3 linked regions of the Kluyveromyces lactis genome follow. The protein of the gene in region 1 interacts with the protein of each later gene in a pairwise test. Links are inferred from orthologs where the notes say so. Each region holds a gene or a part of one and is shown in the gene's direction. Other genes may lie near its edges.

Region 1 (5,151 bases):
TTCTAAATATTCTCTCATTGCTTGATACAAAGAGTGCAAACTTGGTTCAAAGGACCAGAAAAACTCTGGGGTGTCAAGTACACTGGATGATAGGTTAACATCGACGCGTAACTTGAATAGCTTACCTGATTTCTTCAATAATTGTTCCCTTTTCAACCCCAAGGTACCATACAAAGCAAGTCTTTTAGGCAATTTAGAGACTGACCCGAAGATCGGAACTATGCGCGCTTCAAATCTCGATAGTTTGACCGATTGAGCTATGGCATGGGACAATGTTAAGGCTGTTAAGTGGTCTCCGGACCTCAAAGTCACTATGTCATTAAAAATACGAGGTCTTTCCGTATCCATGTCATATTCGAAATGGAAGCTTTCAATCTCGATATCTTGTTCATCTAAAGGTTTCAGCACCATGTTCTTATAAGATGAAAACGAGATGTCACCTAGGATGTTTTTTTCTTGAATTTCAGTGAAATTCCAGAACACAACTACACCATAACTGAATATGAAGATTTCCGCATGTTGCTGTTGAAATAATGAAGTTTTACCATTAATCTCATTGAAAGCCTCCAGTTCCGCTTCTGCATTATTCTCCTCAGCAAAATATTGTGGCTCACTTGGGTCGAAGGACACAGAAGTATTGACTGGCGGATTCGGTAGATGATCTGGTGTATTCTCGGCATTTAAATTATTTGTTACTCCCCCTTCGTCTAACTCGTAGTTATTGTTAACATCTTCAAGCGTTTCGACTCCCGAAAAATATTCATAATGATGATCTCTTCTCTCGCTGGTATCTATTAAATAGTCAATGATTGACTTACCTCCTTGGGTCTTTTTTGATATGTTTGATTTAATTCTGAAACCATCCTTGCCAGGCAATAAGGGAAGAGTATACGGTACGTATAAACATTCGTCGTATAACCTTGGTAGTACATCATGGGTCTGCTTCATGAAGGTTGAGGTTAAAGATAGGTTGAATCCCTCAGCAACATTGTATGCTGTTATTCTCGGTAGATCAACTTCTTTATCCATTTTGGTCTTAGAACTTGATTTCGCTCTCTGAGTTTTATTTGCACGCTTTCTAAACTGGTTTATATTTCTACTGTCATGGGCTTCATCCGGAATCAACACAAGTTTCTGAGACGTCTTAGAAGTTCTTGTCGGTAAAGGATTGATCATTTTGGTGATATGAGTTCCTCTTTGCCTATTTCGAGGAAACATGTCATATGAGGATGTAGATAAACGTTCCTGACGTCTACCTGACGGAACATCACTGACATCCAATAAAAGGTTATCCATAGACACATCGCTGAAGCGACTACTAATGGATTTCTTGTCTCCATGCATATCGTATCCTCTTCTTCGTACTCTACTTCCTTTAGAGTCTGTTTTCCCGCCTGAGCTAGCCGCAGATCTTGGCACTGAACTTACGTTCCTCATACCGGCAGCATGGCCCGCAAAGGGTGCAGACGGACGATTCTTGTTAGAACGTGCATCTGTTACCAAGATACTTGGCGATCTTCTCGATAAGGATCTGCTCATAGGAACCGCTGTGTTTCTATCATCAATGACTGACATAATGCACAATGATATGAACGAATATATTGGGTGCCGTTATTTGCACTACAAGTATCGAACAGTAGCGTACTATATTGAACCAAGCCCCGTCGACTCCAACAGCAATCTTGATTGCTAGTGATATATCCAGGCGGGTAGTGAATTTGCTGTCTCAAATGTAATCAAAGGCAGCCGCTGCCCAGAAATTCGTATTAGAACCGCCAAAAATAGAATGTTCTTATTTCACTTCGACAGTAGTATCTGCGGAGATAATGGTGTACTTCACAAGAGAACTGGATATGTCTACATATCTTTCTGCTAATATGTGCATTCTTTTAACAACGATCCTCTTAGTTGTGTTCGTCTTTTTTTCCATACATTTGTCAAAATATTACCCGAACATCTTCCACTTTCACTGAATTATCGATATTGAACAATCAAATTAAAATGAAAACTCAAAGACGAATGGATTAAAAACGGAATAGTAAGCAGTGGGAGAACAACTTCGATATTGTCTCCTTCCAAGTTATATCACCAGTTGTAGGATACGTGAATTTCACTACCTAAAACATTCAGGTATTAGTAATTTCTCGTCGCTCGTGTAATATCTATTGAGAATGTCTGATTTGGATGATGATTTATTGGCTTTAGCCGGTGCCGGAACTGACGAGGAAGAAGAGGATGAATTCCTATCAACATCCAAAAAGCACGCTAGCAAGGAGTCATCCGGAAGCAAAAGAAGGCGTATAATGAAAGACGATGAAGATGAAGATGAAGATGAAGATGACAATGATGAGGAGGATGACGATGGATATATGCCAGCGGACTCTTTCGACAATGACGAGGAAGAAGAAGAAGAAGAAGAAGAAACAGACTCAATCCCCTTTCCGTTGGAAGGTAAATACAAGGATGAGAAAGATCGTGAAAAGCTAGAACTGTTGCCGGAAATGGAAAGAGAATCCATTCTCTTCGAAAGATCACAACAGATGCAAAAGTATCAAGAACGCAAATTGTTGAGGCAACATGCGAAATCCATCAAGCAACAACAACAACTGCAAAGGGAGGGTTCAAAATCGACCCGTGCCTCTACTAGATCCTCAAGAACCACTGGTCATTCTGATTTGAAACAATCTAAGCTTTCAGAACTTAAGAAACAAAGGGCTAAAAAGAGTGGAAATTATGAATTTAGTGACAACGAGTCTGAAGATGATTACAGAAGCGAAGATGATAGCCGTGGCCGAAGAAGAAGAGGCGATTATGACGACGAAGAAGAGGAAGAGTCGGAATACGATGAGGAAGAAGATGACTATGATCTGGGCTATGAAAAATCAAAGACCCGCGGAAGAGAGCGCGCAGATATTCATGAAGTAGAATGGGCTGAAGATGACAATTTGGACAGGGAGTCTTCCCTTGATGATTATAATAAAATACAAATTGGCCGTTCCTTTGTCGCTAAATTTTGCTTCTATCCCCATTTCAACAAGATAGTGGAAGGATGCTACGGTAGAGTGAACATTGGTAAGGACAAGCACACAGGTAATTCAATGTATCGTATGGTAAAAATTGAACGTGTATTTTTACAAAAACCATACAACATGGGTAAATTCTTTACTAATCAATATTTTGGTGTCACTCAAGGCAAAGACAGAAAAATTTTCCAGATGAGCTATTTCAGTGATAGTCCTGTCACTCAACCAGAATACGAGCGTTATTTACTTTCTTTGGAAAAATACGACATTACACAGCCTTCACCCTATATTCTAAATAACAAGTCCAAGGCAGTAAATGAATTCGTATGCGAACCTCTCACACCGAAATTGATGGACGATATCGTTCGTAATAGAATGGTATTCAATAAGAAACTTTCAGGTACAAATGCTGTCATGGAAAAACAAGTGCTCAAAGAAAAACTGCAATTCTCTAAACAATCTGGCGATATTGAGAGTGAAAGTAAATATGCTAACCAACTTAAAGCATTAGAAAAGAGACTAAGTTCCTATGAGAAGCATCATGAAAACGATCAGAATGACATAAAGACCTTGGGTGCTTTAACATCCAAGAACAGAAAATTGAATATTGATCGAATCAGACACGCAGAAACAATCAAGAGAGAAGAAGGTGTAAATAAAGTGGATGCCAAGAGTGATCCATTCAGTAGACTAAAAACAAGAACAAAGATCTACTACCAAGAAATTCAACAGGAAGAAAACGAAAAGGCAAGAGAAGAAGCTAAAAGGCAACTAGAAGTTGACCAAGAAGCTGAAGAACAAAAGAAAAAGGAATTACTGCTTGCTAAATTCAGACGTCTTGGTGGCCTCGAAGAAATCATTGGTTCTCTAGATCTAAAATTACACATAGATATTTAAAAGTCCTATTCGGTATAGTGAATAATATTATGTTGTACTACTACTACTACTCTTAGTACTATCGGGATATTTTTGAGAACCTTTTTTTTTTTTTTTTCAGCCTTTGTACATATGTATTCATGTTAGATTTGTTTCCAAAAGTTTGTAGAATTTGCAAGCATCTCATACATGTCAGAAATGAAATCAGGAGCATCGTGCACAGCGAATGGCAGTCATTGCAGATAGAATTGCGGCTAGCGTCATAAGTGCATATGATAAATTACCTAAATCTGGCAAACCGGGAATCCGATCTAATGGAGTGACGGAGTGGACTGTTTTATCAGGTATTGTCGCGTTTGATGAGCTCAATGACAGGTATGAGCCGATTTCACTTGGCACTGGCGTAAAAGCTACTCCGAACGAAGAGCTGCAAAGGAGTAACGGGCAAATAGTACATGATTGTCATGCTGAAGTTATATGTTTACGCGCTTTTAATGCACTGTTGCTGAAGGAAATATGTGATCTACAGAATGGCCAGAAATCATTTTTAATAGAGAAATCAGCCGATGGCTACAAGGTTAAAGATGTTTGGAAATTTGCCATGTACATCTCACGCATACCCTGTGGTGATGCGAGCATGAATTTACTGGAAGCAGAAGATAAGTCAGAATGCGAAAATTGTCAGCAAGTGGGAAATATCTTTATTAATGGGCAATACGTTCATCCCGAAATCGATACAATTATCAGGGGACGCGCAAACTACAAATTGAGGAAAGTTGTTCGAACAAAACCCGGTCGTGCAGACTCAAAGATAACACTTTCGAAATCGTGCTCGGACAAATTAACAATGAAGCAGATGATTTCAATCTGCAATGCTTTAACCTGGTCACTTCTGCAATCACCTGTATATTTAGAATGGATTGTTCTGCCAAAGCAGTACCAGTACGAGCAAGTACAGTTAGAAGATACATTTTGGTTAAGATTAAAGAATCAGCAATTCTTGCCCTTTAAGTTTTTATTTTGTAATGAGACTTTTTCTGCTGATCGAACCAACTTATCTCAACAACCTTCTTTGAGTTCTTGTGTATCGTTATATGGCTCGAACGAAGCAGTATCAGAGGTAATACTAAATGGGGTCAAAAATGGATTCTATGTCAAAGGCAAGAAACCACTTCGAAAAGGTTGCCAATCAATTATCAGTAGATGTGCACAGTGGTCTGCCTTCAAAAAGATAAAAGCCATGCCCTCTGAT
Region 2 (4,239 bases), on another chromosome or scaffold:
GGGAGAGAAGAAAGACTAAGAGACACCAACGAGTCCACCAACAGAAGAGTTAGAAACTTTTCTATCGCTGTCATCGTTGTTTTGGTCGCTTTGGGTGCATGGCAAGTAAACTACATGAAGAACTTCTTTAGAGCTAAGCACATTATTTAGAATGTTCGAATAGTTTCAATGCCTTGAATCTCAATACGATCTTCAAATATTGAATTGAAGAAACATACATCATATGGTGAGCCTTTTATACGTGTACAGTATCTATATATGGAAAATGGCATAATTTCTAAATCGGACGAGTAGAGGGGGAAAGGGATTATATTATGCCTAGACGGGTAGGTCTTTGTTTTTGCTAGAATTCTATGTTGATATGGCCACCAGTTACATTTATAAGTTTTGTACTAAGTTACTAGTGATATTCTTCCAAATGTTCCAAAGATTGACGTGTTTTTTAGGAAGTGAATTATTTAGTGGATTGCAATGATGCTAGTATCTTAATAAACCCATTTTACCAAGTAATTTGGCAAAGTCTAGGTAAGTGACAAATACCCTCTCGCCGTTCGTAGCCCAACTTACCATTGACAGGATAATATGTTGATCCATATCCACTTGAACAGCAGCCTTCTGGACATCTTTAACACTTATCACGTGCTTCCTTAGTGCAACCTTAGGGAACTGTTGCAATCTACCGGTATATTTTAATAGTAGTTCCCATTGTTTATCTATTATACTCTCGTTGTCCATGAAGATCAAGAGTCGATAAGTGACATCCAAGAGTTTTTCGAAATCTATGACGTCAATTCCATCCAAGCATAAGTCCTTGAATTCTAATAATCCGTACCATGATTTACTGATTTGTAATTCCGTATAAAAACTAGAAATATCAGCCCACTTGAATTCACCTTCTTCGGTGAAGCTTAAATATATCGATAGGACTTCATCTTCAATCTCGGTGGGCATTCTGGCCTCATTCCATCTGGTAATTGTGTCATAACTGACATCATTCTTTTTCCGCATAACTACATTATCTGGTCAGCAATGACTCATCGGTTAATATTGTCCTTAACGTAGCCAGAGCTGATGTTATATATTAAAGACTACATAAGGTACTAGCTGCCCGTTCGTTATGAAGTGATGCAGACTGATTCATCGGCTACTTAAGTACTTTTGAAATACTTAGGCGAGAGTTACCCTCTATTTGTGATCCTTGAAAAATTTCAATCTAAACTTCCCAATTTTCAATACAAAAATGGTAGTCCACGCTAAGTTGTAATGATGATCAGTATGCATTACAGTTCGCATTCACGATACAAAGCAACAGTCAGTAAGACGTCATGAGCGGTACTGCTGAGGAATCCGATAAAGCAGAGGCTGTTTCTGTACCTGAAACAGTTTCTGGGTCAGTTGAGAGTCAAGATAAGGAGCATAACTCTACTTCATCTTCGTCTGATTCTACAGATGTGGTTGGAGGCAAGAAAAGAACTATCGATGAAGTTGATGGGAGTTCTGAAAACAACTCTGCATCTGTCGATCAGTTAAAGGACGCTCCTACTGATTCTAAACCAAAGACAGAGGCTACTGAAGATAGTCCAATTAGGGGAAATCAAGGGAACAATCAAGAAAACAGTCAAGAAAACAAAGACGATGAAGATGATGAAGATGACAATGACGACGATGACAATGACGATGACGATGACGAAGATGAAGATGTCGAATCATATAGGAAGAAGCAACGTCGTGAAAGAAACAGATTCTTGGATATTGAAGCCGAAGTCAGTGAAGACGAAGACGACGAAGAAGATGAAGAAGATTCAGAACTAGTTCGTGAAGGTTTCATTACTCGCGGTGACGAAGAAGACGAAGAGGATCGTGGTGGTAGAGTTGATGACAGACTGCATAGAGAATTAGATCAAAATCTTCAAAAAACTGCGGATGAAGACATGCACAAGATCGCTGAAGACTTCAAGAAACGTTATGGTCGTGACTCTTCCAAAGATTACCGTGTACAAACTCAAGGTGGGTATGTACCTCAGAGGTTTATGTTACCAAGTGTTGATACTGCTATTATTTGGTCCGTTCGTTGTAGACCAGGGAAGGAGAAAGAACTAGTGAGAAAGTTGCTAAATAAGAAGTTTAACTTGGATAAATCTATGGGCTCTAAAAAATTAAAGATTCTGTCCATCTTCCAAAGAGACAATTACACAGGAAGAATCTATATCGAAGCTCCAAAACAATCTGTTATCGAAAAATTTGTCAACGGTGTTCCAGATGTCTATTCTAATCAAAAGCTTTTGATTCCCGTGCAAGAACTACCTTTACTATTAAAGCCTACCAAGTCAGATGAAGTGAGACTTGATGTTGGTTCTTATGTTAGAATTAAAAGGGGTATTTATAAGAATGATTTGGCAGTCATTGATCAAATTAGTCAGAACAACTTAGAAGCTCTATTAAAGATTGTACCCAGATTAGACTACGGTAAAAATGACGAAATCGACCCAGATACAAATCAGAGAAAGGCAAAGAGAGCAACGTTTGCTAGTAGGCCTCCTCCTCAATTATTTAACCCTACTATGGCATTAAGGTTAGACCAAGCCAACTTATTCAAAAGAGATGACAGGCACTTCACTTACAGGAAGGAAGATTATGTTGACGGTTATCTTTTCAAATCTTTTAAGATTCAGTATCTTGATACAAAGAATATCCAACCTACGGTGGAAGAATTATCAAGGTTCGGCAGTAAAGAAGGTGATGTCGATCTAGCAGCTATTGCTCAAACTATGAAAAAAGCTCAAGCTTCTAAAGCTATGTTTCAACCAGGTGACCGTGTTGAAGTGTTGACCGGGGAACAACGTGGATCTAGAGGTGTGGTGACTAGAAGTTCTAAAGACGTCATCAGCGTTAAACTATCGGGCTTTTCAGATAAATCATTAGAGTTCCCAATTGCATCTCTAAGAAAAATTTTCGAACTTGGTGACCATGTCACAGTAATAGCTGGTGAACATGAAGGTAACGCTGGTTTGGTTCTTTTGGTGCAGAACGGTCAAGTCACATTTGTTTCTGACCAAACTAGAGAAAATTTGACAATCTCTGCGAATAACTTGAGTAAATCTATGGATTCTACTCCGACATCAAGCGAGTACGCTCTACATGACATTGTTGAGTTAAGTGCCAAAAACGTGGCATGTGTGATCCAGGCTGGACATGATATTTTCAAGATTATTGACGACTCCGGTAAAGTGGCTACTGTTACTAAAGGCTCAATTCTTGCCAAGATCAATGTAGCAAGAGCGAAAGTAGCTGCTGTCGATGGTAATGGTAGAGAAATAAAAATTGGCGATGTAGTAAGAGAAAAGATCGGTTCCCGTAGAGAGGGACAAGTACTCTACGTTCAAAACCAACATATTTTCATTAGATCGAAAACAATAACGGAAAATGCCGGTGTTTTCGTTGTTAATCCAATGAATGTCGAGGCTGTCGCCTCAAAAGAAAACTTGATGTCGTCAGCATTGGATTTATCTAAAATAAATCCAAATATTGCGTCTAAGATGGGACCACCACAAACTACTCAGCAGACGCGGTTAGTTGGCCGTGACGTCGCTTTGAACAAAACTGTTAGGATACGTTCTGCGGGATACAAGGGGCAGTTGGGTATTGTCAAAGACGTCAATGGAGATAAGGCTACTATTGAATTGCACTCCAAAAATAAGCATATTACAATAGACAAAAGAAAACTTACTTACTTCAGTCATGAAGGTGGTGAAGGTATAACATACGATGAACTTGTTAGTAGACGTGGTAGAACTCCACATACCAGATTGGGCCCAAGCTATGTCAGTGCACCAAGACACATGGCTGCCGGTGGTGCGGTGGCAACGAACACTCCGCAACAACTTCCTGGTGGAATGACTCCTGGTTGGAATGCATTTGATGGCGGTAAAACTCCTGCGGTTGGCCAGAACGGAGGAACTTCATCCTGGGGTGGTGCTTCGACATGGGGCGGACAAGGCCCTGGTGGTGCTTCTGCCTGGGGTGGAGCTGCTGGAAACACTTCCACCTGGGGTGGGCAAGGTGCTACATCAACTTGGGGTGGTGCGTCCACTTGGGGTAATAAATCTAGTTATGGAGGCGCCTCTTCTTGGGCAGCAAGCGGAGAATCAGGAGCAGCTTCTGCCTGGGGCGGTGGCAATAAATCAAGCTATGGAGGTACTTCTACCTGGGGTGGTAACCAGGGAGGTGTCTCTGCCTGGG
Region 3 (4,399 bases), on another chromosome or scaffold:
TTCCTTGCTTTGCAATTGACCTAGGATAGATTAGGACAGATTAAAATATAAATTAGGATGGATTAAAATCAGATTAATAATATCCTTCTGTATCCGAAATAAATAGTTTTAAGAGTAGTCTTATATCAAACTCTTCTCACCAGCCTTGAAACCGTATTCTCTAGTCTGTGCTTCTAAAACAAAAAAAAACTCTTTAAAAAAACGAATACCACTACTAAAGAATCAGAACCTATTACTTATTGAGATACAAGTAATCAAATTATAAGTACAACTGAATTAAAGCAAACTAAAACAAGTGAAATAACTTTATATTTTAAAACCTTTACCATTGTTTTCATACAGATAAAGCTTGGAAATTGTTATTGTTCCATTCTCGTTTTCTCGATGAGATGAGCTTTGTGAAATTTTTCAGTGAAAAAAAAAAAAAAAATTTTTTTTGGTGATGAAAGGATTAGTTAATTATCGTTTAGAGTGATGTGATATGAATATATAAAGAAAGCCGGCTTGAGATCTTGTTTTCTCTTCTTTGGATATCACTTTTCGGGGAATCATTTTTCCGGAACTTGGGCGGTTAAATCATGTCGAAGAAGCAAGGGTAGATTTGGGCGGGAAAGTGCCACTATGGTGGGAATTTCCCTGGAGTTATGTCATTGTGGTTGATTCAGGGGTGTCTCTCCGGTGTGGGCTCGCGTTGCCCATTTTTCAATGGGCAACGCGATATAAGTGCTTGAGTTTGTTCCTCCCTTTTTGAGGTGCATCATTCATATGGAATTGCTCACCAAGTGTGTAAACGTTTGGTTACTGATACGATGAAAGGGGCCCGTACTCGATTAGTACGGGATATGCTCTCTATTGTCGACTTTTTGAAATCGCCAGCATTTGAAATATTCACGGAATTCATACTGTACTGTATTTTTTTCTGTTGAAATTGAAACTGCTGTTTTATCAACTGGAAACCTCCTCAATTGACCACCGTTTGACCGTTCATTATCCAACCTTATTCTTTCCTTCGGTCTGAACAAACCGAGTAGACACGCCATGTACGTGTTTATTCAGCGTTTGCCAAGTCTGTCTCCACTGACATATGTGCCGATCATCTTCTACTTCTTGCTACCTTGCCCCATCGATTGAGATGGATAGTAATGTAATCCCCGTCTTGGTTGTCACCTGTCAACGGTAATGTGATACATTACTTCCTAGTTACCCTCTTTCTCACCCTAGTTTTATAAAATTTTTTTAGTCCTATATCGTCTGTATCTTTCCCGTAGTCAAAACTTGTTTTGAACTCTTTTTCCAATCTAAACCTGTAAAGAAAAGACCCATTCAACAGAGCACACGATTTAAACGTGAGAATATCTGCATTTAAGGATTCGATAGGTATTCTAAAGCAGTGGAGGTGAACGAATCTATTGTCACAGAGTGTTAAAGTTGTGTTTTGTATTAATATTTTTTTTTGTTTTTCCCTCTGTTTAGATTCATGCAATAATGGTACAGGATTTACCAGACGAAGTCTTAGCGAATCCGGAACTTTACGGGTTGCGTAGGTCGCATAGAGCCGCTATCACCCATAATACTTATGCTGGTTTAGATTCAGATTCAGATGAGGAAGTGATTCGTCCCAGAAGGGGTAAGCAAAAGCGGAAGGCTGTGAAACAGGAACATAATTATGACGAAGAAGAGGAAGAAGAAGAGGAAATTGATGATTTCAGTGACACTGATGATTTCGGTTCGAAAAGGAAACCAACCCGCGCACCTAGTGCCAAAAGGGGTAGGAAGCGTGTCAGTGCTGGTAATTCAAAGAGTAAACGCCAAGCGAAACGTGTCGAGGAGAGTGACGAGGAAAATGTCGTTTTGCCTACCAGGTTTTCGTCTCGGAATAATAATAAAGTCATTAATTATACATTAAATGATGATTCTAACGATGAGGATTTGATGGAATCTTCCGAGGAACAGGATGAGGGTCATAATTTGGATAGCGAGGATATGGACTTGCAAGATGGATATTCTGCTTCGCCGTCGCCGCAACAGGAAACGCATAGCATCGACATCGTTGTCGATCATCGTTTGAAGGAAGGTGTTGATAATTCGGGATCGACGAAGAATCGTAGATGGGATGTGGATTCCATCAGAGCTAACTTTGAGTTCCTTATTAAATGGGCAGATCAATCTCATTTACATAACAGTTGGGAGTCCTACGAGGACCTCAAGGAGAACGGGACTAAAGGTTTGAAAAGAATAGAGAATTATTATAAACAGTTTATCATTTTAGATCAAGAGGTGAGAGCAGACCCATATACCACCAGAGAGGATATAGAAGTCATGGATCTTGAGCATGAGCGTAGAATTGACGAATTCGAAGAGTTCAAGGTGCCAGAACGGATCATTGACTCGGAACGTTTTGAAAATGAGGACGGATCAGGTTCGTCCCAATTGAAGTATCTTGTAAAATGGCGTCGTTTAAATTATGATGAGTGTACTTGGGAAGTAGCCTCCGAGATTGTCAAGATGGCTCCTGAACAGGTAAAAGAGTTCCAAAACAGAACCAATTCCAAGATAATGCCACAAAACTCCTCTAATTACCCAGCAAATCAAAGACCGAAATTCGAAAAGCTAGACGCCCAACCTAGTTTCATTAAAGGTGGGGAACTAAGAGATTTTCAATTGACTGGTATCAATTGGATGGCCTTTCTTTGGTCAAAGAACGATAACGGTATCCTTGCTGATGAGATGGGTCTTGGTAAAACTGTTCAAACTGTTTCATTTATCAGTTGGCTCATTTACGCTAGAAGACAAAACGGTCCTCATTTAGTAGTGGTACCTTTATCAACCATGCCTGCATGGCAAGAAACTTTTGATAAATGGGCTCCTGGTTTGAACTGTGTTTACTATATGGGTAATCAAGCTTCAAGGGACTTAATTCAAGATTATGAATTTTACACCAACCCACAAGCTAAGGGCAAAAAACATCTCAAATTTAACGTTCTGTTGACAACATATGAGTATATTTTGAAAGATAGGTCAACGTTGGGTTCAATTAAGTGGCAGTTCCTGGCTGTGGATGAAGCTCATCGTTTGAAAAATGCAGAATCATCTCTATATGAATCTCTAAACAGTTTCAAAGTTGCGAACAGATTGTTAATCACCGGTACACCGTTACAAAATAACATTAAAGAATTGGCGGCATTGGTGAATTTCTTAATGCCAGGCAGATTCACTATTGATCAAGAAATCGACTTTGAAAATCAGGACGAACAACAGGAAGAATACATCAGAGATTTGCATAAGAGGTTACAACCCTTTATTCTTCGTCGTTTGAAAAAAGATGTAGAAAAATCCTTGCCCTCGAAAACCGAACGTATCTTAAGAGTGGAACTCTCTGATGTTCAAACGGAGTATTATAAGAACATTCTAACAAAGAATTATTCTGCTTTGACTTCTGGTATTAAGGGCGGCCACGTTTCTCTTCTAAATGTTATGAATGAATTGAAAAAGGCATCAAACCATCCCTATCTTTTTGATAACGCCGAAGAAAGAGTTCTTTCTAAGTTTGGTGATGGTCACAAATCTAGAGAAAACATTTTAAGAGGGTTGATCATGTCCAGTGGTAAGATGGTATTATTGGATAAACTTTTGACACGATTGAAAAAGGATGGTCATCGGGTTCTAATTTTCTCACAAATGGTTAGAATTTTAGATATTCTAGGTGACTATTTATCTATCAAAGGTATAAATTTCCAAAGACTTGACGGTACAGTGCCTTCTGCTCAGCGTAGGATATCTATTGACCATTTCAACGCGGAAGATTCTAACGATTTTGTCTTTTTGCTATCTACCAGAGCCGGTGGTTTAGGTATCAATTTGATGACTGCTGACACTGTCATCATCTTTGACTCTGATTGGAATCCACAGGCGGATTTACAAGCTATGGCAAGAGCTCATAGAATTGGCCAGAAGAATCATGTCATGGTTTATAGATTTGTATCCAAAGATACAGTTGAAGAAGAAGTCTTAGAGCGTGCAAGAAAGAAGATGATTCTAGAATACGCTATTATTTCTCTTGGTGTCACAGATGGTAACAAAATATCATCAACCAAGAAGAATGAACCGAGTGCCGGTGAGCTTTCCGAAATCTTGAAATTCGGTGCTGGTAATATGTTCAAACCAAATGATAATCAACAAAAGTTAGAAGACTTGAATTTGGATGAAGTTTTGAACCATGCAGAGGATCATATCACAACTCCAGAGCTTGGGGAATCGAATTTGGGTGGAGAAGAATTCTTGAGACAGTTTGAAGTTACGGATTATAAAGCTGATGTTGATTGGGATGACATTATCCCCGAAGATGAACTCAAGAAACTAAAGGATGAAGAACAAAGGCGTATCGACGAAGAATATGTCA

What was found.
Region 2: the proteins of RTF1 (region 1) and SPT5 interact in binary tests that used the Saccharomyces cerevisiae proteins (3 or more experiments, as listed by UniProt). The link is inferred for Kluyveromyces lactis from reciprocal best matches to the Saccharomyces cerevisiae genes RTF1 and SPT5.
Region 3: the proteins of RTF1 (region 1) and CHD1 interact in a two-hybrid assay, tested with the Saccharomyces cerevisiae proteins (3 studies listed by BioGRID, with this or other methods). The link is inferred for Kluyveromyces lactis from reciprocal best matches to the Saccharomyces cerevisiae genes RTF1 and CHD1.

Annotation. Positions count from the first base shown.
Region 1 is NC_006037.1:70,062-75,212, forward strand, and holds RTF1 (RNA polymerase-associated protein), read left to right. Parts: upstream 1-2,171; coding exon 2,172-3,920; downstream 3,921-5,151. Other genes in the region: RMD8 (Rmd8p), read right to left, coding at 1-1,575; TAD1 (tRNA-specific adenosine deaminase), read left to right, coding at 4,126-5,151.
Region 2 is NC_006038.1:68,439-72,677, reverse strand, and holds the start of SPT5 (transcription elongation factor SPT5), read left to right. Parts: upstream 1-1,325; coding exon 1,326-4,239. Other genes in the region: ERV25 (Erv25p), read left to right, coding at 1-150; RAD33 (Rad33p), read right to left, coding at 478-1,008. UniProt on the Saccharomyces cerevisiae protein: The SPT4-SPT5 complex mediates both activation and inhibition of transcription elongation, and plays a role in pre-mRNA processing.
Region 3 is NC_006039.1:1,546,405-1,550,803, forward strand, and holds the start of CHD1 (chromatin-remodeling ATPase CHD1), read left to right. Parts: upstream 1-1,485; coding exon 1,486-4,399. UniProt on the Saccharomyces cerevisiae protein: ATP-dependent chromatin-remodeling factor which functions as substrate recognition component of the transcription regulatory histone acetylation (HAT) complexes SAGA and SLIK. It recognizes H3K4me.